Linked DNA regions of Ovis aries. The protein of the gene in region 1 interacts with the protein of each later gene in a pairwise test. Links are inferred from orthologs where the notes say so. Each region holds a gene or a part of one and is shown on either strand. Other genes may lie near its edges.

What was found.
Region 2: the proteins of RTN4 (region 1) and RTN3 interact in binary tests that used the Homo sapiens proteins (3 or more experiments, as listed by UniProt). The link is inferred for Ovis aries from reciprocal best matches to the Homo sapiens genes RTN4 and RTN3.
Region 3: the proteins of RTN4 (region 1) and SYT16 interact in binary tests that used the Homo sapiens proteins (3 or more experiments, as listed by UniProt). The link is inferred for Ovis aries from reciprocal best matches to the Homo sapiens genes RTN4 and SYT16.

What each region holds. Positions count from the first base shown.
Region 1 is NC_056056.1:68,961,966-68,968,606, forward strand, and holds the start of RTN4 (reticulon-4), read left to right. Parts: upstream 1-3,258; 5' UTR 3,259-3,468; coding exon 3,469-4,033; intron 4,034-6,641. UniProt on the Homo sapiens protein: Required to induce the formation and stabilization of endoplasmic reticulum (ER) tubules. They regulate membrane morphogenesis in the ER by promoting tubular ER production.
Region 2 is NC_056074.1:38,529,246-38,535,786, reverse strand, and holds part of RTN3 (reticulon-3), read right to left. Parts: coding exon 4,727-6,541; intron 1-4,726. UniProt on the Homo sapiens protein: May be involved in membrane trafficking in the early secretory pathway. Inhibits BACE1 activity and amyloid precursor protein processing. May induce caspase-8 cascade and apoptosis.
Region 3 is NC_056060.1:72,053,481-72,060,121, reverse strand, and holds the start of SYT16 (synaptotagmin-16), read right to left. Parts: upstream 4,075-6,641; 5' UTR 3,928-4,074; intron 1-3,927. UniProt on the Homo sapiens protein: May be involved in the trafficking and exocytosis of secretory vesicles in non-neuronal tissues. Is Ca(2+)-independent.

The DNA.
Region 1 (6,641 bases):
ACCAACCTAGATAGCATATTCAAAAGCAGAGACATTACTTTGCCAACAAAGGTCCATCTAGTCAAGGCTATGGTTTTTCCAGTGGTCATGTATGGATGTGAGAGTTGGACTGTGAAGAAAGCTGAGCGCCTAAGAATTGATGCTTTTGAACTGTGGTGCTGGAGAAGACTCTTGAGAGTCCCTTGGACTGCAAGGAGATCCAACCAGTCCATCCTAAAGGAGATCAGTCCTGGGTGTTCACTGGAAGGACTGATGCTAAAGCTGAAACTCCAGTACTTTGGTCCCCTCATGCGAAGAGTTGACTCATTGGAAAAGATTCTGATGCTGGGAGGGATTGGGGGCAGGAGAAGAAGGGGATGACTGAGGACGAGATGGCTGGATGGCATCACTGACTCGATGGACGTGAGTTTGAGTGAACTCCAGGATTTGGTGATGGACAGGGAGGCCTGGCATGCTGCAATTCACGGGGTCGCAAAGAGGCGGACACGACTGAGCGACTGAACTGAGCAACATTCTCCTTTCCTTATGCTTTGTTGACCATTCTATGAAAACTGGATAAATTCTTTATTTTTTCTTTCATCCATCAAATACTTAATGTTTTAGAAGTCACTGAGATAATAATATAAAATTCTTATTTTTCTTCTGCATCAGAAGTGAGTGCTTAATTATTGCCTCAATATTTAATGCTATTAACTATTAAAGTTGTAGATCTACCACTTTTCTGTAATGATTCTTTTATGACAATTTTAATAAACTAAAGATATTCCTTTGTGATTATTTTAGTAATAATCAGATACACAGATATATGAATGTAGAAATATCACATAAATAACTTACAGTTAATAAATGAAAACCCTGTGGAACTTTCCATTAAGGTGTTTCAGGACAATCACAGTAGGAAAAATAGTATTGGGGAGACTAAACTGATGGCTAAATTGTGATTTAATTGAAAACTTCACACCAAAGAATTTTGCCAGTGTATTTTTGTATGTGTATGGACTTAGCTGAAAAATCATGTATGTTTTTGACAATTTTTGACAAATATTTGACAAATACTTGAAATATGTTTAGTTATTATTGAGGAATCTGTTTTAAAATTTTTAGTTTGGCATTACATCTCCTGCCTCCAAATTCTATACTAATATTTCTCTCTTCCTACTCTTCCCAATTCTTCTAAAAACAAACAAACTCCAATCAACTCATAACAATTTTCTAAAAATAAAGCTAAAGTTCATCTCTGTGGGACTATTAAGCTAGGTCTTGAATGTACTGTTGATAACTAACTAATAACTAACCTGATCAGGTAACAATGCCAGGAAATCTAGTTTTACCTTTGCTTGTTTTTAAGAATTAAATCTTGTTTCCCATTGACAGAAAAGAGAGTTCTTATACACTCTCATGCCTACCTCCCAACCAATTTCCCCTATAACTAACATCCTGCATTAGGCTTGTGGTAGGCTTGTTACAACTGATGAACCAATATTGATTATATTACTCACTGAAGCCCACAGTTTACATTAGGATTCCCTCTTTGAACAGTTGTGAGTTTTGCCAAATGTATGTCATGTATCCATCATGACAGTGTCATACACAACAGTTTCACTACCCTAAAAATCTCCTGTGTTCCCCCTCTGTGTCCCTCCTCCGTCCCCCCAATCCTCGCTTTTCCTTTTTAATTACCCCAATTGAGGGTAGTATTAGTTGAAGCTAAGAATTTGCTTAAGTAATCCATGATTCTCCATGGCAATCAACATTTCTTAATCATCAATTTAGACTAGCACTGTCAAACAGAAATAAAATATAAGCCACATATATATTTAAAATTTTCTAGATGCAGTATTAAAAAGAACAAGTAAAACTAACACATTACACTTATCCCAATATATCCAAAATGTTATCAATTCCAGTATAACCACTATAAAAATTGAGATACTTAATTTTTTTTGTACTCTCAAAATATAGTATGCATTTCAATCTTACAGCACATCTCATTTCAAACGACTCATATTTCAAGTGCTCGGTAGCCAGGAGTAGCCAGTGACTAAGGACTTGAATAGTGCAGGCCTAGACTGAGAGCAACTTGAAAGCAAGCTATCCTCCTCTCTCCAGGGCCTCTAGAATAGACAGGAAGGGGATATTTTTGGAAGATATTCAGTACATCAGAAAGACAAAAAGGACTCTCTAAACCTCTGGATGCTGATACTTAAATGTTCTGCAGTCACTTTCTTTAAACTCTCCAGTTCTGGAAAAAGTGGAATGGGGATTATACTCATTTTGATATATCAAAGAAATGAGTATGTATGTATCCTGACTCCCAGAAAGCCTGAATCATCCAGAATGTTGACTCATGGGCCTAAGGTGACTGAAATACAATGTGAATCAAATTTGCCTTCCAAGGCATCCTTCTCTTTCCACTTTCCTCTCTCTCCTCCCTCTTTTGGGTGACTCATCCTTCTACCAGTTAAGTCCAGCAGCGTGCAGATCCCAAAGCCCTCTTTGAAGAAGTACAGACTCATCAAATGGTCTGTTCCAGTCAGTCCCTATATCGTCTAGCCTAGTTGTTTTGCCTACCTCATCCAGGGTCTGCAGTTAAGACTGGGAGTGACTTTAAACCTGTAAAAAATATTATTTTTTCTTTTAAGGTGGTGATGGTGATCCCCTTAAGGTGATAAGGTGGCTTGGGAATTTAAGTTTGAAAGAAAACAAATTTTCATTTCGAAATTTACAATTTAACGTTTGCTTCAATCCTTAGGGCCTACTCCACAGTACCGTTATTCATAACCTTCCTGCGCTCTGGGTTTTTTCCTTTCCTGGGAGGAAAGTTTCCACTCCCAGTCTCCAAGATAACGCCCTTCCGGTGGCGTGCCAGGAACGTCTCCGACCCCTCAGTGCTGGGAGGGAGTCGTTTCGTTTTCTCAGTGCTGTAAACACACAGACTCCAGCTTCGCCAGGGCCAAGACCAAGACCCCAGCCGGACCCGCAACTACCCTAGGCAGTCGGTGGGGTTCCCAGCTCCAAACCCCGCCCATCGAACCCACCCGAGCCGGTAAGAGAGAGGAAGTGCAGTGAGACCCACCCACTTTCGTCTTTTTCCTTTTCTGTTGGGCCGACTGGTTGCCCGTCAACTCTATTTCTTCGCCGATTGGCTCACTCCCTCCCGCGTTAGTGCCTCCCTCTCCCTGGCTGGGAGGGTGTCACGCCAAACTGGGCGGAGCGTCGGCTGGCCTCTCTCCTTCTCTCATCTGGGCGGCGGCGGCGGCAACTGGGGACGGGGCGGGTGGCGCATCACGGGCGCGGAGGCTGGAGGAGCAGTCTCATTGTTCCGGGAGCTGTCGCCACTGCAGGTCCCTCGGCTCGTTGGGCCCTGCCCCTCTCAGTCCTCCCCGCCCCCCACAACCGCCCGCGGCTCTGAGAAGAAGCTTCTCCGGCGGAGGCAGCAGCTGCAGCATCACCTCTGACCTGCCAGCCATGGAAGACATGGACCAGTCGCCTCTGGTCTCCTCGTCCTCGGACAGCCCGCCTCGGCCTCAGCCCGCATTCAAGTACCAGTTCGTAAAGGAGCCCGAGGACGAAGAGGAAGAGGAGGAGGAGGAAGACGAGGACGAGGACGAGGACCTGGAGGAGCTGGAGGTGCTAGAGAGGAAGCCCGCCGCCGCGCTGTCGGCGGCCCCGGTGGCCGCAGCCGCCGCCACCCCGGCTAGCGCGCCCCTGCTGGACTTCGGCAATGATTTCGTGCCCCCGGCGCCCAGGGGGCCACTGCCGGCCGCGCCTCTCGCCGCTCCGGAGCGGCAGCCGTCTTGGGACCCGAGCCCCGTGTCGTCGTCGGTGCCCGCGCCGTCCCCACCCTCCATTACAGCAGACTCGCACTCCAAGCTCTCTGAGGACGAGGGGCCTCCGGCCCGGCCTCCCCCTCCTCCACCGGCCGACGTGAGCCCTCAGGCCGAGCCCTCGTGGACCCCGGCTGCCCCAGCCCCCGCCGCGCCCCCCTCCACGCCGGCCGCGCCCAAACGCAGGGGCTCCTCGGGCTCAGTGGGTGAGTGCCGCGCCCTCCGCCTCGCGCCGCCCCTCGCGCCCCTCCCTCTTTTGTGCGCAGCCCCTAAAGCCTGGACCCTGCCCTTCTGTCCATCCGGAGGGGGCTTTGTCTGCAGATCTTTGGGCGAAGGCGCCCCCGCTGGTGGGAGCCGCGGGGAGCAGGGTGGGGCGGCAGAGGAAGCTCCGGCTTACTCTTTATTGTCCGTCTGGGTATCGGGGAGCACGTGCGCCCCGACCGCTCCCGGGTTGTTCTGTCTGCTCTCCATTCCACCGGGTCGGGGAAGTTAGGAACCCACCCCTTGCAGGAACTGGGTCTGTAATGAGGGAACTAGGGGTGTGGATTCATCGGGCTGCCTTGGTTCCGGGATGAGGATGGAAGGCCTTGGCGCCCTAATCTTTTGTCTGCCCAACTAGGTTGCTCCTGAGGAAAAGACGCAGTTTCTTGCTGGTCTTTGCCTGCATTCAGCCCTGGCCCCTCTCCTCACCCCTTCCTTGGCTTGGGTGGCCCCATGCTCTTCATCTCCCCCGCCCCGGCCCCGCGCTCGTGGGGAGCCGGTCCAGTGGAAAACGTCCACATTGACCTGACTGCAGTGAAGGGACAGCGCCTCCAGTGGTGTGACGCGTGGAGAATTGCGGAGCGGAGTTTCGGCGAGGTCCTGCCACCGCCCAGTTTACCCGGGTTGTGATGTGGCTATTTACCACCAGCTTAACGGCGCCGGGGAAATGGGACCTGGGCACCGTGTTCCAAGGGGGCGCAGTTCTGCCGGGAGCTCTGCCGCAGAAGGAGGGGAACAGTTGTTAGGATGCACAGGTTTAGTCTCAATGCATCGTAATTGAATCGTAGAGATAAAAGGAAAAGGCAAAATGGTTGACATTCCCAAAGAAGGGGAAACCTGTGGATTCCCTGGCGGGAAGAGGACAGTTGAACTTCTGGCAGATTTACCATGGGACTTCATGAAATGTTTTCAGACAGACGTTTTCATCTGTTGGTTAGAAATACTGTTTCGTAGAAGTAATATATTTTAGGGCTGCAGAGACAGATTTGCATTGTCCGTAAATAGTTTTCAAATCTTTTCATTTACCAGCACCTGATTGTTATTACTGTTATTAGGAAAAATTGTTTTATTATCCTTTTCATTTTGGGAGATTGTTTATTTTGGAAGAGAAAAAAGTTTGTTAGAGGTTGAGAATTCATCCTATTAGACACGTTAATTAACTTATTAACAAGTAGCTTGTTAGTTTGGGGACAGAAAGCGTCGCACTAGAAGTAGGACCTTTATGTGTAAATAGGCAAGGATCAAGAATCAGGTAGTGTAACAGTCTGGTGAGAAATTGTCATAGCCTTGTAGGATTTTAGAGCCGGTTGTTTTTCTAGAAAAAGATACTCAGTGGGAGATCATGGAAGAATTTTCTTTTCTTCGGCTCACTCCTGCACCACAAGGAAGAAAAATAAGTCAATAGTGATATCGACATACCCCACAGCATTACTCAAAACATTAATTACTACACTACAGATAATTAGAATGTGAGAAGTAACTCAAGTTTTCCTTTTTATGAGTGAAAACACATTTCGAGAAACTAAAGTAAGGTGGAAAAATATCAAGTAATAAGACATTTACAAATGATAAATTTAATGATTAAGAAAAGCAAACTGATTTTTCATATTGTATTCCTGTGTGGCAACAAAAGAGTTCTGTGCTTTGAACCTTGGAGAGTCAGGAGGTGACAGCATTCTTTCTGTATTTTGACTTTAGGAATACTAACTTTGGAAGACAAAGGAGAGAATGTTGAGTCACTTAGCGATTCTATCTTTACATGGCTCCCTAATTCTGTATTGATGTTGCCTATCTAGAAATTTTAGTTCCTTTAGGACATAAAGGAACACTGTGATTATGGTCAGATAGTTAAACCATGTCACTGAGTCTGGCTTTCTTAACAGTTCTTTCCTGCAGCTGGTTATTGATTTACCTACAGAGGCACTATTCTAGGCTAGGAAAATAGAGCAGTCAGCAAGACAGATGTGTTCCCCATGAGAGGAGTACCGATAATAAACACCTGATTAAGGAACTGAGACTAGTGTTAAGTGTTATGAGCAGCATAGGAAGGATGATGTGGAAAATTATTGAGATGTGTGGGAACCTTTTTACATAGGGTGGCACTGAGAAAGGCCTTTCTGAGGAGGTGAGATTTAAGCTGCAGATATAAAAAATTTCCAAGAAGCTCCTGGGAGGCAAAAGCCCTGCGGCAGTAATGTATGTTTGAGAAGCTCGTGAGAAGACTAGTAAGAAAGCTAAGGAGAGAGTGGGGTGGTAGACTATACTTAGGTCATTTGAGGTCTCTAATAGGCCATGGTAAACATTTTCGCTTTTTGAAAGATTGTTTATTTTAGAAATGTGCTCCTTAATTATATTGGGGTTTTGGAGCAGAAATACAGTTTTGAAGATTGAGAGAAACTAAAAGGATGGACGTGAGTAAAGACAAAGAGGTGGGAAATGTGCAGAGCATAGTTAGAAACATAGATCAGTCTGACTGGAGGACAGTTTATGTTACTGCATATGGTAGATCCCTGACACTTGTGTATTTCGTATTGTTGTTTAACCTCTTCTTGA
Region 2 (6,541 bases), on another chromosome or scaffold:
CATGGGCTTAGTTGCTCCGCTGCATGTGGATCTCCCTGGACTAGAGATCAAACCAGTGTCCCTGCACAGCAAGGCAGACTCTTACTGGACTTACTGGACCACCAGAGAAGTCCCAACAAAGGTCCAGTAAAAGCCTACTTGGCCACATTGCAAGAAAAATCACTGTGATCTTGTTTTTAAAAATTTACTTCAGAATCACACTGTGTGTAGGCATACAGATTCACTTATAATGACATGAAAATAAGTATTATTCCGAAAACCTTGTTTTTTAACTTTTTTCTACTTTAAGTATTCATCATATAATAAAAATTCTAGTGTTAAATAATAGTTTTTATTAATAAACTATGAACATTTTTGCATAACAGGAGAAACTCCAACTTTGACAGCAAATTGATAGTAACTAGAAAAATAAAGCACATACACAGAAAGTGAAATTGATAAGCAGTGACATACGGACCCAAGAGAAACATGTGCATCTGTATAAAAACAGATGAGTACAGGATGTTAACTTCAGCAATGTCTAATAATAGTAAAATATAGAAAATAACCCAAATATTAGTTAAAAGAAAAATAATATAGTAATAAAATGAGTTACTACACAGCTATTAAAATAAATAAAATGACAGATACCTCCACATGAAAAGAGTTAAAAAATCTAATGTTGAATGAAACAAGTTGTATAACAAGATAATATTAATTTATTTTGGGGGTGAGCTCTGCATGGTATGAAGGATCTTAGTTCCCCCACCAGGGAACTAAACCCATGCTCCTAGCAATGGAAGCACAGATTTTCAACCACCGGACCACAAGGGAAACCCCAACAAAGATAAAATTAATAAAGTTTTAAAAGCACAAAAAATACCATATATGCATACATTTAAAATGTAGTGGAGCAGAAACTAACACAACACTATAAGATAATTTCCCTCTGGGGAAATGGGTCAGATGGTAATCAAAGGGTCCTTTAGTTCGAAAGCAAATATTAATTAACAATAGAAGTTAATTCTAATATACAGAAATACAAGTGTATTTCTTTTTGTACTTCACATCAACCTATAACTACTCCAAAGGCTATATAACACTTAACGGTACAGATATGTTACACACTCCAACAATCTTTAATTGTTAAGGCACTAAGATACCCGCCACTACAAAGAATATCTCTATAGTTGCTTTTGCACATAAATTTCTTTTCCCCTTAGAATACGTAACTAGAAACAAAATTGCTAGGTCATTTCCAGGTCTGTTATATACTGTCATATATACCACAGAATAGCAAAAGAAAAATAAAATACCATTAATTTTTTCATAGCTTCCTTTGCCTATTTTCCCCAACAACTTTAGGCAGAATATAATTACAGAATTGGTTTTACTTTAGAAATGAAGACTGCTCAGATACACTGCTTAGAGCTAGATGCTGGTATATATTAGTAAAATTTACATCTTAAAAGATTTATTCATGATATAAGACAATTTTAAAAGGTTTTTAATTCTGAAACCTTCAAAGGAAGAACTTTTAGCTTCTTGGTCTAATTATACTAGTTTTCATTATCATCTAAAAATGTCTATTAATCATAGAATTTGGTCAGTGACAAAATGACTTAAACTTCCATAGTCCTTTTCATCTCTCACACTAGATTAAATAACTCAGTTGAGATTTACTAATAATTAGCCTTTACGTAGTACTTTATTTACTACAGGATCTTCCTTGGTGGCTCAGACGGTAAAGCATCTGCCTACAGTGCAGGAGACCTGGGTTCAATCTCTGGGTCGGGAAGATCTCCTGGAGAAGGGAATGGCAACCCACTCCAGTATTCTTGCCTGGAAAACGCCACGGACGGAGAACCTGGTTAGGCTACAGTCCATGGGGTTGCAAAAAGTAACACCATGCTGCCGCTGCCGCTAAGTCGCTTCAGTCGTGTCCGACCCTGTGCGACCCCATAGACAGCAGCCCACCAGGCTTCCCCGTCGCTGGGATTCTCCAGGCAAAAACACTGGAGTGGGTTGCCATTTCCTTCTCCAATGCATGAAAGAGAAAAGTGAAAGTGAAGTCGATCAGTCCTGATCCCATGGACTGCAGCCCACCAGGCTCCTCCGTCCATGGGAGTTTCCAGGCAAGAGTACTGGAGTGGGTTGCCATTTTCTTCTTCACTATGAAGAAGGGCAAAATACCACAATATTAACAAAGCAAGATGCCAAACCAATTTGGCTAATTGTCAAAGGTCACATTAAAGCAGGAATTTGCCAGAATTAGACACTGGATTGTTACCACCTAATTTCTATACACCTCATCACCTCAAAAACCTATGTTTAAGAATTTTGACAAGAAGTCATGAAGAAAACTAGTATTTACCAGGGTCAGAGAAACGGTATTGACGATCACCTACTTCAACATCCTCACTTTATAGATAAGGAAACTAAAGCCCCAAAAGGTGATATAACTTAATTGTTTAAAGTCACATTTCTAGACAGTGTAAAGCAACAATATGGATTCAGGTCTCTTTAATCCAAGTTCAACTATCTTCAACTTCTAGAGTATAACAGCTATCCTTAACTGCCATTTCACACTTTTGAGTTTATAAAAAAGCCTCAGTGTTTTCACAGATAATTAATAACAATGCATTCAGTAACAAATAATGATCCAGGACCTACTATATGCCAGGTCCTGTACTTGCTGCTAAATGAATATTTACTATATACTGGGCCCAAGGCAATGGCACCCCACTCCAGTACTCTTGCCTGGAAAATCCCATGGGCAGAGGAGCCTGGTAGGCTGCAGTCCATGGGGTTGCTAAGAGTTGGACACAACTGAGCGACTTCACTTTCACTTTTCACTTTCATGCACTGGAGAAGGAAATGGCAACCCACTCCAGTGTTTTTGCCTGGAGAATCCCAGGGACAGGAGAGCCTGGTGGGCTGCCGCCTACGGGGTCGCAGAGTCGGACACGACTGAAGCGACATAGCAGCAGCAGCAGGCCCTCTAAAGAAAGCTGAGCACTGAAGAATTTGATGCTTTTCAACTGCAGTGTTGAAGAAGACTCTAGAAAGTTCCTTAGACTGCAAGGAGATCAAACCAGTCAATCCTAAAGGAAATTCATCCTGAATATTCATGAGGACTGATGCTGAAGCTGAAGCTCCAATACTGTGGCCACCTGATGCGAAGAACTGACTCATTAGATAAGACCCTGATGCTGGGAAAGAATGAAGGCAGGAGAAGGGGATGACAGGATGAGATGGCTGGATGGCATCACCAACTTGATAGATGAGTTTGATGAATCAAGGAGCTGGTGATGAACAGGGAAGCCTGGCGTGCTGTAGTCCATGGGGTTGCAAAGAGGTGGACACGACTGAGTGACTGAACTGAATAAACTTAGGCCCTTTATAACCTGCATTTACACTTTTAATCTTCACATTATTATAAAGTAAGTACCATTATTATCTCTATTTTAAGGATTAAGATTTAGTAAGGTTAAATAACCTGTCCATGGTCTTTGGTAAGGAAATACCTTTATAAAATAAGAAGTAAATGGTGCCTTTCTGCCGCAGGCTATGATGGGCAGCAGTCATGGTTCTGCAGCAGCCTATGGCTGTGGACTTCCAGGTGACCCACAGATCCCAGCAGGTAACCTAACCAAGCAAGCAAGTTAGTGGTACCCTGGCTGGAAGAAGTGACCGGAGGGAAGTGGCTGCAAAGGACTGAGCCCCTTTCTTATTCTGTGCATAATAAAACCTTTACAGGGGAAAAAAATATGGTACAACCTCATTTAAAAAGTTTCTCTTAACAAAAATCTCATTTTCTTTTAAATATTATAACTCTGTGTCTGATTTCATTTGAAAGAGGAATCTATTGGTTAAGAAGTTTGGAAAACCACAGGGCCCTGCATAGCACCTAACTCTGACCACACTGATCATACACCAAGTGCAGAACCTCATATCAGATTAGAGGTTGGGGCTTGATTCTGGAGGCTTTATAGATCTTTTTTTCATTACACTAAGACACCAGAACAGAGAGCATCTGAAGTAATTTAAATGACGGTCAACAGCTAGGAAAGTAATCACTCAAATAAGCAGAAGACAAGCAGAAGGGCTTCTAGTACCATGCAAAGAGTTTTGACCTGAAGAATGTCAACAAGGTCCAAAGTAGAACAATGCACGAGTTCTCCTAAAGCATCACTGGCACGACTGCACTACAGTACTGGTTACCTACTTTCAGAGCATAAAATCTCTGTGGTATAAGATCAAATTAATTAAAAGTTTCATTTATTATCTTCCCAGCAGGAATTCCTTTCTCTTTGATTGCTAAATAGATTTTACAAGGGCTAAGCAAAATACCTAAGGGCTAAGCAGTGCTACTATTACGGAGATTTTATATTAATCTGTGCAAATAAGAGCCTAGTGATAGTCTTAAAAGCAGCAATCTCCCCTACAGTCAACGTATAATGAAAAAACTGGACCATGACATTTTTTTCCTTTAGGAGAATATTAATTTTAACAAGTAGTCTCCTGCTTTGGGAAACATTTGTATAAGAAAACCAAATCAAACAACCATTAAAAAAAAAAATCTACCTTTCCCCATTATATAGTATATTTTATTCTAGCTATAATTTAGTGATATAAATCAGAGACTAAGAAAAATGGCCCTCTAAATAATCAATCATAGCTGAATTAACCACATGCAATATTTCTTTTTTTCCCCACATGCAGTATTTCTAACGTAAGTGGTTACCTGACACGTCTGTCAGAAGTCTTGTTAGGACAGGCTCGTTTACCGGCTCAGTCTTGCTAAGGCTGGAAATAGCCTCTACCCTAGTAGTTTCCTTGATAACAGTGGGCTTCCTGGAAATCTCAAGATCAGATCCAGTCTCGACATCTTTGTGTTCTAGGACATCAGCTGATCTCTGTGGCCAGGAAGATTCTTTAACATTTGTTAAAGTCTGTTTGAATATTTCTTCAGGAGAGTCTCCTTTATCCTGTACAGAAGCTGACTTCTCCACCTTCCTTTCACTCAGTTCTTTAAGTGCTTTGATTGTGAGCTGTTCTTGTTCTAAGTCGAGAGATGCTATTGGAGTACCTTGGGTAGGGAAAACTTCCAGAAGCTTACTCCCATTTATTTCTTTGCTTTGTTCACTGTATTTGCTTTCTTTGTTTTTAATTTCAGAACCACCTGACTTATTCCCATGCAAAACATCTAGAGGAAGAATTGTTTTAAAGTCCTTAGTCTCCTCTGATGTTGCTTCAAAGGTATTGCCTTCACCTATACCTACTATTCCTTTCTCTCTGGTTTCTGTAAAGGCCGCCATCAGGTCCTCTGGGGAAGAATCATCTGGATCTTTCATATTTTTTTCATGCAATGACTCCAAATAGGCAGAGCTTGTCCCACTTTGTGTGAGTTCTGTAGGAGCTGCTTCTGAAGGGAGTTTTGGGTTCTCAGCTGCAACAGGCTTTTCAGGAACAGCTTCATGCTTACTACCTGACTGCTTCACTTCTGGCGTGCCATTCTTATTAGATACTAGTGAACACACTGCTTCACCTGGGCTCCTTTCAAGAGGATCAGGCCGAACTTGTCGTGGCTCAGAGTCACTGACCGACCCTTCAAATTTTTCAGATGTTCTGTCTTTCTTGTTACAACTGAGGATCTCTTTGACTTCTCCATCTGTTTTTATAACAGGACTTGGGATGGAAACAGGTTTTTCAGCCTGAATTTTGTTGCTCTCAAATGAATTATCTGCTGTGAGGTCTTCTATTACTGTGTCATCAGATTCACCAGAACTATCAGCCTCTGTCACTTCTCCCAACACAGAGGTCTGCCAGCTCATTCCACCTTTCAGGTGGCTGTCGGGTAAAACTACTTTATCTGTGGCCACTCCAGAACCAAGAGAGACACATTTCTGCAGTGGAGAGCCAGGTGACTCTGAAAGTGTGTCGTCTCTTTTCTGCACGCTGTCTTGCACACCTTTGATAGTGACTTCCTGTGTGGAATCAAAATGGTCTGGCACGGCGTTTTCCTGTGGGAGAGGTGTTTCCGCCCAGTCACCTGGTGATTTAGTGTCAGCAGTGCTTCCATTAATAGAACATACAGGAATTTTCTGAGTGTTTGTTTTAAGATTTACAACAGGAATTTCTGAATTATATTCACTTGTGCCAAGTCCTGTAGTTTTTGTGTCGTACTCAGCTTTATCACGCTGCTGTTTCACTTGGGGAACCAAATCCCAAGTCAGTACTTCATTAGTAAAGCTATGCATATCATTCACACATCTAGATACCTCCTCCAATGCTGCAGCTGTGTGTGAAAACTGCCTGGTGAGCAATGCAGAGGCTGGGTAACGCCCTGCTTCTTTCTTTCTCAGTGGAAATACTTTGTCATTAGACTCTGAAATGTCTGCAGGTGATTCTCTACTAGTATGCACTGCCCAGCTACCAAAATCATTTATGCTTTCCTTATATAAGTCTTTAAATTCTTTGTCAAATGCTGCTTTGTCAATAATTACTTCAAATGGTGATTCAGGGGAATCCTTTTCCATAACACCACCTCCTGAAGCTT
Region 3 (6,641 bases), on another chromosome or scaffold:
TAAAGTAACAGGACAATATGAGGGCGACGTAAAAGCTAATCTGAAGATCATCTGCTATATGAAACTGTCATATAACTAAGGGGCCCATATAATTTATCATCCAAACTGGAACACTATACAGGGAACTTTTGTTGTTGCTGTTCAGTTACCAAGTTGTGTCTGACCCTTGCAATCCCATGGACTGTAGCCCACCAGGCTCCTCTGTCCATGGGATTCCCCAGTCAAGAATACTGGAGTGGGTTGCCATGTCCTTCTCCAGGGGATCTTCCCAAACCAGGGATCGAACCCGCATCTTTTGCATTAGCAGGTGGACTTTTAAACCCTGAGCCGCTAGAGAAGCCCCACACAGGGAACTTCTGATTCACAATTATGTCAGGCCGACAAAAGGAAACTATTACCGAAATGAGCTAGTGAGGGTGCAGACTCGGTCCATATGTGAGGCAGTTGGAAGAGAACAGGTAGAAAAGGCCTTTCAAGGGGATAAAGACACTTCCTCTGCAGACACAAGTGGGAAAGGGAATATGGATCAAGATATAAGAGGGTTGTGAGACTTGATGACGGGTATCTGGCCCACCTTTTACTTTTATTTCCTCAATAAATTTTGAGGCAAAGTCATCAGCTGAAGGTAAATGGGAAAGAAACCTCGGGAGCTGGGGGTGAGAAATGAAAATCTAATTTCTGGAGCGTAGAATGAATATACTAAGCAAGTGAAACAGGATTGCCAGGGTTAATTCCAGAGTTATGTCATGAATTTATAAATGAGCATAACTATGCATTTTCCTCTTGCAACATGTGGCTGCTTAATAAAAATGACAGATTGTATAATCTAAACTAGGTTTTTAAAAAAAAAGAATATAAAAAGGAGGATGGCAGACAATGAAAACGTGATTAGCCAATGGATTGAAGTCTGCAAGGTAATAGGACAAGAGAGGGTGAGCTGGGAGGATAGGATGGGTGTCAAAAAGCAGGTTCCTTAAAACCAAGATGTTAGTGATATTGCTGTTCCTTGGTGATATTAATAATAAAGGTCAAGGGGCCATGGGAATGCAGGATCTGGAAATAACTATTATTTAAGTCACAAAATCATGGATCATAAAGTTTCAGTACTGAGGTCCAGAGAGGTGAAGTGACCTCCCAAAAGTGGTGAGGGAGAACACACCCTAAACTCTCATTATTTCCCACAAGCCCAGAGGAGAAGAGGTGACAAGCATCTGCGATATACTAATCAAAGGGAACCTTGACTTCTTGGCAGTTGCAATCTCTCTGTCACTTGATTAACTTGGAGGTCAAGTAGGAGAGGCAAGAAAAGACACACTTCTATTTTTATTTTTATATCATTATGGGAGCCAACTAGGAAACTATTGAAAAACAAAGTTACTAAGTATCTGCTCTGGGTGAACATTGGTAGCTGTTATGGTGGGGTTCTGGCAGGGAGGGGGTTATGGCTGACCTCTTCATTACAGGTCTATTGGGAGAAACCAAAGTACCAGCAGGAGGCCTGGGCAGAGGGCCCAGCTCTGCAGCAGTAGCACTGAGGGGCGGTCTGGGGGTTGTAAGCCAACAATCTCATCCTCCTGCATGCATGCCCACTGAGTCACTTCAGTCACTTCCAACTCTGCAACTGTAGCCCGCCAGGCTCCTCTGTCCATGGGATTCTCCAGGCCAGAATACTGGAGTGGGTTGCCATACCCTCCTCCTCTTCCTGACCCAAGGATCGAACCCGCATCTCTTTCGTCTCCTGCATTGGCAAGTGGGTTCTTTACCACTGGTGTCACCTGGGAAGCCCCGCATCCTAAGTAAGCATTACAAAGTATGACTGCTAGATACACACAGCTTCTAGAGAAATCCCCTACAACTCCTTGACTTCAGGGCAAGCCCTGCCCATTCAGGAGCTCTGTGCCTTGCATGACAGGGTGGCTAAAAAACCTCTGAAATGTCCTCTTGGTCTCTTCTTAGCCCACATCCCAGGTTCATGCTGGATTCTGCACTCATACAAAGGGAGTCAGCAGAGGGCCAAAGAAAAGAATAGGAAATTCCAAATTACTTCCACAGGTTTCACTGTGAGTTGGGTTGAAATTTCTTTTCTTCTTTCTCAAATCCACATCCTTAGGATTTGGCGAGCAGTAGGGGAGATGCAAGTCTATTTCCAGTGTGACTATGAAGCTGTTGAGACTGATTTCATGGCCGAGGACAGCCCCATGCTGTTTTTAGCCCCACACCAGCACTCTGGGATCATGCAGATCAGAACTGCCCACGGAGCTCCCTCTCCTGCATGTGATAGCTCTCTTTAAAACGAGATTTCTGGATCAACTCTGGTGTTCCCACAAAGGGCCATTTACATAACTGAGCAAAAAAGTGCCAAGAAATAACTGCCTTAGGCTTGCGGCTTTCTAGGAGAAATGGTCAACACTTCTTTTATTATCAGACTGAAGATGTTTTAAGATTATATAATCTCTAATAATGTTCATTTTCAATGTAACAATAATCATTGACTTCTTCTGAGGACAAAAAAAAAGAGGCAAATGGGAACCAGATCTCATTCGCCTTTAAAATTATTTGCTGCTACAACTAAAATACTCTTAGTTAAACTACTCAATTTTCCTTGAACCCTTAGAGAAGGGTGAGTAGAATTAAGAGGTGTTCACTCCCTCCAGGGCCTTTCTCAGACATGATATGTTTATGACGTATGCCTACATGCCCAGAGGTTCTGTTCTTACCACTCCTGCAGGTCAGAAACACTGGGGATCAGAGCTCTTCTAACCCGTTTCCTATAGCCTTGTTGTTGGTTTAGTCACTAAGTTATGGCTGACTCCTGTGTGACTCCATTGGAAAACTGTAGCTGGCCAGGCTCCTCTGTCCATGGGATTTCCCAGGCAAAAATACTGGAGTGGATTGCCATTTCCTTTTCCAGGGGATCTTCCCAACCCAGAGATGGAACCCGCATCTCCTAAATTGGCAGGCAGATTCTTTACCGCTGTGTCATCTGGGAAGACTTTCCTATAGCCTACTCACTGCCTAAATATTTCCACTGTTTTTCTACCCAACCACAAGTCTCAATTTTCCCTCTGAGTGCTCCTATGAGAGTAACTGTTTCCATTTAAACTATGGAAGAACAAGGAACTCACCCTTGCAGGCGCCATGTAAGTGTCCACAGAGCTTCCTAGAGAGAAGGACCCAGGGCAAGCATGCAGCTCTGGACAAGAACGAGGAAGCCCAGGAACTTCATACCCAGGACTTCCTGTCACCGGCCTGTTCTAGGCACCTAACACTCTTCAGCAGGAGCTGAGTAGGGAGAAAATGGGACTGACTTTTAAGCTCTGATTACCTGGGAAACTTTTATACCTACAGGGGCCTGAGCTGTACCAAAGACCCAGTGAATCAAAATTTGGGAAGTAGGTCTCAGGTAAATTTATGTTATAAAATCTCCAAAAGAGATTCACATACACAGGTAAGGCTGTAAATCTTTGTCTGACCTTCTCAGTACCAGGACGTGGGCCCTCAGACTTCACAAAAGATCAATGTTCCTGCCTCCCTCCTTGACTTCAGACTGAAAAGTGAGGGTGCATATGTGACAACCTTCCCTCCTTGAGGTAAGAGTGAGGACACCGATAAGATATCAAACATTGCCTGCCACTCGGGTGAAAGACCATTCTCTACTCCACTCACGTGGGGCTCCATTTGCTTTCTGATTGAGAAAAATACCCAAGGGCCAGCTCCTGAAGGAAATCTGTTTTACCCCCAATTAACAGACTTTTGATTGGCACAGTTTTGAGACGATACATTAGAAACAGCAGAGAAGTTTGCTGAGTGCAAGAAAGCTAGGGGTCTAATGACCACCCTCCCTCTACTCTGCAAAGCCAAGATAAAAAGAGGGCTCATGTCAGCTCTGTTTGAACAGGAGATGGGTGAGCTCTGAAAGCAAATTACCTGGTTCCTCCAGCGGTAGCAAAGGCACAAGATACTTCTGCTCCTAAGCAACCGATGCCTTTATTTCCTGTCATTGCTCAGGCTGGAAAAATTCAGTTCCCTGTTTCCCTTACATCACCCTCCCTGCTCCCTACCTATCTGCAGAACAGAAACTTGAAATGGTGTCCTGGCCCTTCCCTGATGCTATCTCACACACAGACAAAAATTCTCCGCGAGACCCAGCCCTGTTCTTTTGGGGTATGAGGAAAGGAACACGATCTAGAACGCCATCTGTCATCCTGAAATAGCCAATAGTGGCACTATTTTTACCCAGCAATTATCAAACAAATGGAGTCATTTGAAAGAGTCACAGCTGTTCCTCTGTGTTATCTCAGTACAAATATGACACAGTGCAAGTTGATTTTGGTTTCAGCTTCGTGTCTCATGTACACCAAGCAAGTGTTAATTTCTCAACCTCCCAGAAGAACACAAGTCAAAGTGTGTACTCCACAACTGAGTCATTCGTGCAAATTAAAAATTCCTTGTTATCTTGATTATATGGGTCAGGATTTCACTAAATGAGAACATCATTCCAAAAATGAAGGCAATGAACTCCCTATTTCAGAGTTAGTGTCAGGAAATTTTTTAATCTCACAGAAACATCAAGTTTTCTCCTGGCTAAATATGACCGAAAAGAAGGATTGGTACTTTTGAAATGTGTGTGTCAGCCCTTCCAACAAAAAAGCAAAATTTTGTAAAAATCAATCCTACTTTCCTATGATTGAGCTTCATCATAAAGTCAAAGAGATGTCCTATTGAAATAAATGTCTCTAGGATACTGAACACACACATTCATACACACGTGTGTGTACACACACACACTCAGACACCCAGGCAACTCTCTCCAACATTTATTGTTCTTTTTGTCCACCTGCATCCTAACCCCCTTCCTATGGATGGAGAATTCCCAGCCTAAGGAGGCAGTGCTCTCCCACAATGAGAGTGAACATGCCGAAGACTTGCTTTCCCAGCTTCCTTGCATTGGTCAATCAATCAGACAAGCCCCAAAGTACAGAGCTCACCAGAGCTCCCTCCGGGCACAGAGATGCTACAAGAAATACGAGTCCCTGCAGCAGCAGATGCCCTTGCATGCAGGCATGGCTGCAGCAGCAGGGCTGATATGGGCATGCAGTGTTCAGTACCAAGGGCATCTGGGGTGCAAGCTGAAGCCTCTAACACTGTGCAGTAAGAGGAGTGTCCACCAGACTAGCTCCGCAGGCTGAATCCCCAGCCCACCCAGAGACCCTGTGAACCAGGCAACACCCTTTCAAACCAGCATTCTGGTTAATTGCTACAAGCAAGGACCTTAAGTTGAAGAGTTTTTTTTTCCAATGGTTTAACCATGTGGATACCAATAATCTGCTTGGAATTGTTATCCTTCAAAATTTTCCAGTTCTTACCCAGTTCCTAAGTCTATTTCATGCATACTCAATTCACAGACATTTCTCTAACCTCTGATAACTTCCTGATTTTCTCATTTTCAACTAGGAAAGTAATTGAAAGTAGAAAGATATAAATCATAGGAGGAAGGTGCAGGCTGACACAACCACCTTCTTAAAAAAGTATTCCCCAAGGAATCAAGAAGGCTAACTCAGACATTGTGACATGCTGGCAGACCTCATCAGTTTCGAGAAGTGCCTCTTAAACTTTACTGTGCTTATGGACCTCATGGGGGTTGTGTTTAAATGAACACTGATTCAATAGCTCAGAGACTCCACAGGCCTCCTAAGCTCCCAATGAAGCCCATGCTGTGGGTCCACAACCCTACTTGGGATAGTAAGGCTGACAGGGACCTAGGAACTCCTCCTAAGTCACCAAATAAAACTATCCCAGGCCAAAAAAAAAAAAAACCAATACATTTTCTCTTCGTTTTCTAGAGCTCAATTCCGTTACCTCTCCTTTTAATTTTATATTTAGAGTAAAAAGACTTAAAGTGACAATACATCTCATCATTTGGTTCATGACCCACACCAAATGAAAAAATTTCCATGTGCCAAGTGTTAGAACATATGAAATACATTAGATCTTGCTTCAGTGGTTCTGAAAATATTCATTCTATAAAACTAGCCCATTTAATGCAAAGGCCACTCAGGCTTTCAGTTTGGAACCTACATATTAAATGGTATTAGAAATCTCTACTGTTTTACCATTTCCAAGATTCTCACTTAAGTGGCCTTTAATTTTTTTCAAATGTATATTAAAATATAAAGACACATCCTGGAAGCACAGTAAATCCCATAGTAACAAAGGTATAGGGATACAAAGAAGAAATATTCTCTGTATGTATCTCACTCAGATGTAAAATATATATGTATTATCTCACTTTTCACTGATGTACTTGATAGAGTTTAAAATAAATAAATAAATAAACAGCAATGTCTTTAAAAATGGAAGGCTTGTTTCTTTCCAATATCAACAAAAACATCTTGCAACATGTAACGCAAGTCGAGTTCATATCCACCATCCTCCTTAGAGCTCATACACCACTTCAGCAGCTTTTATACCCAAAACTGTCCACCGTATTTTTCTGATCATTCATCAATGTCCTTTCTGAAGGCAGAATGTATTCTACTTTACTTGTAACACTGATAACTCATCATTAAACATGTCTAAAATTTCACAATACATAAGAAAATCAAAAGGGGGCCACAATCTTCCCCTACCTCCAGCCCCCC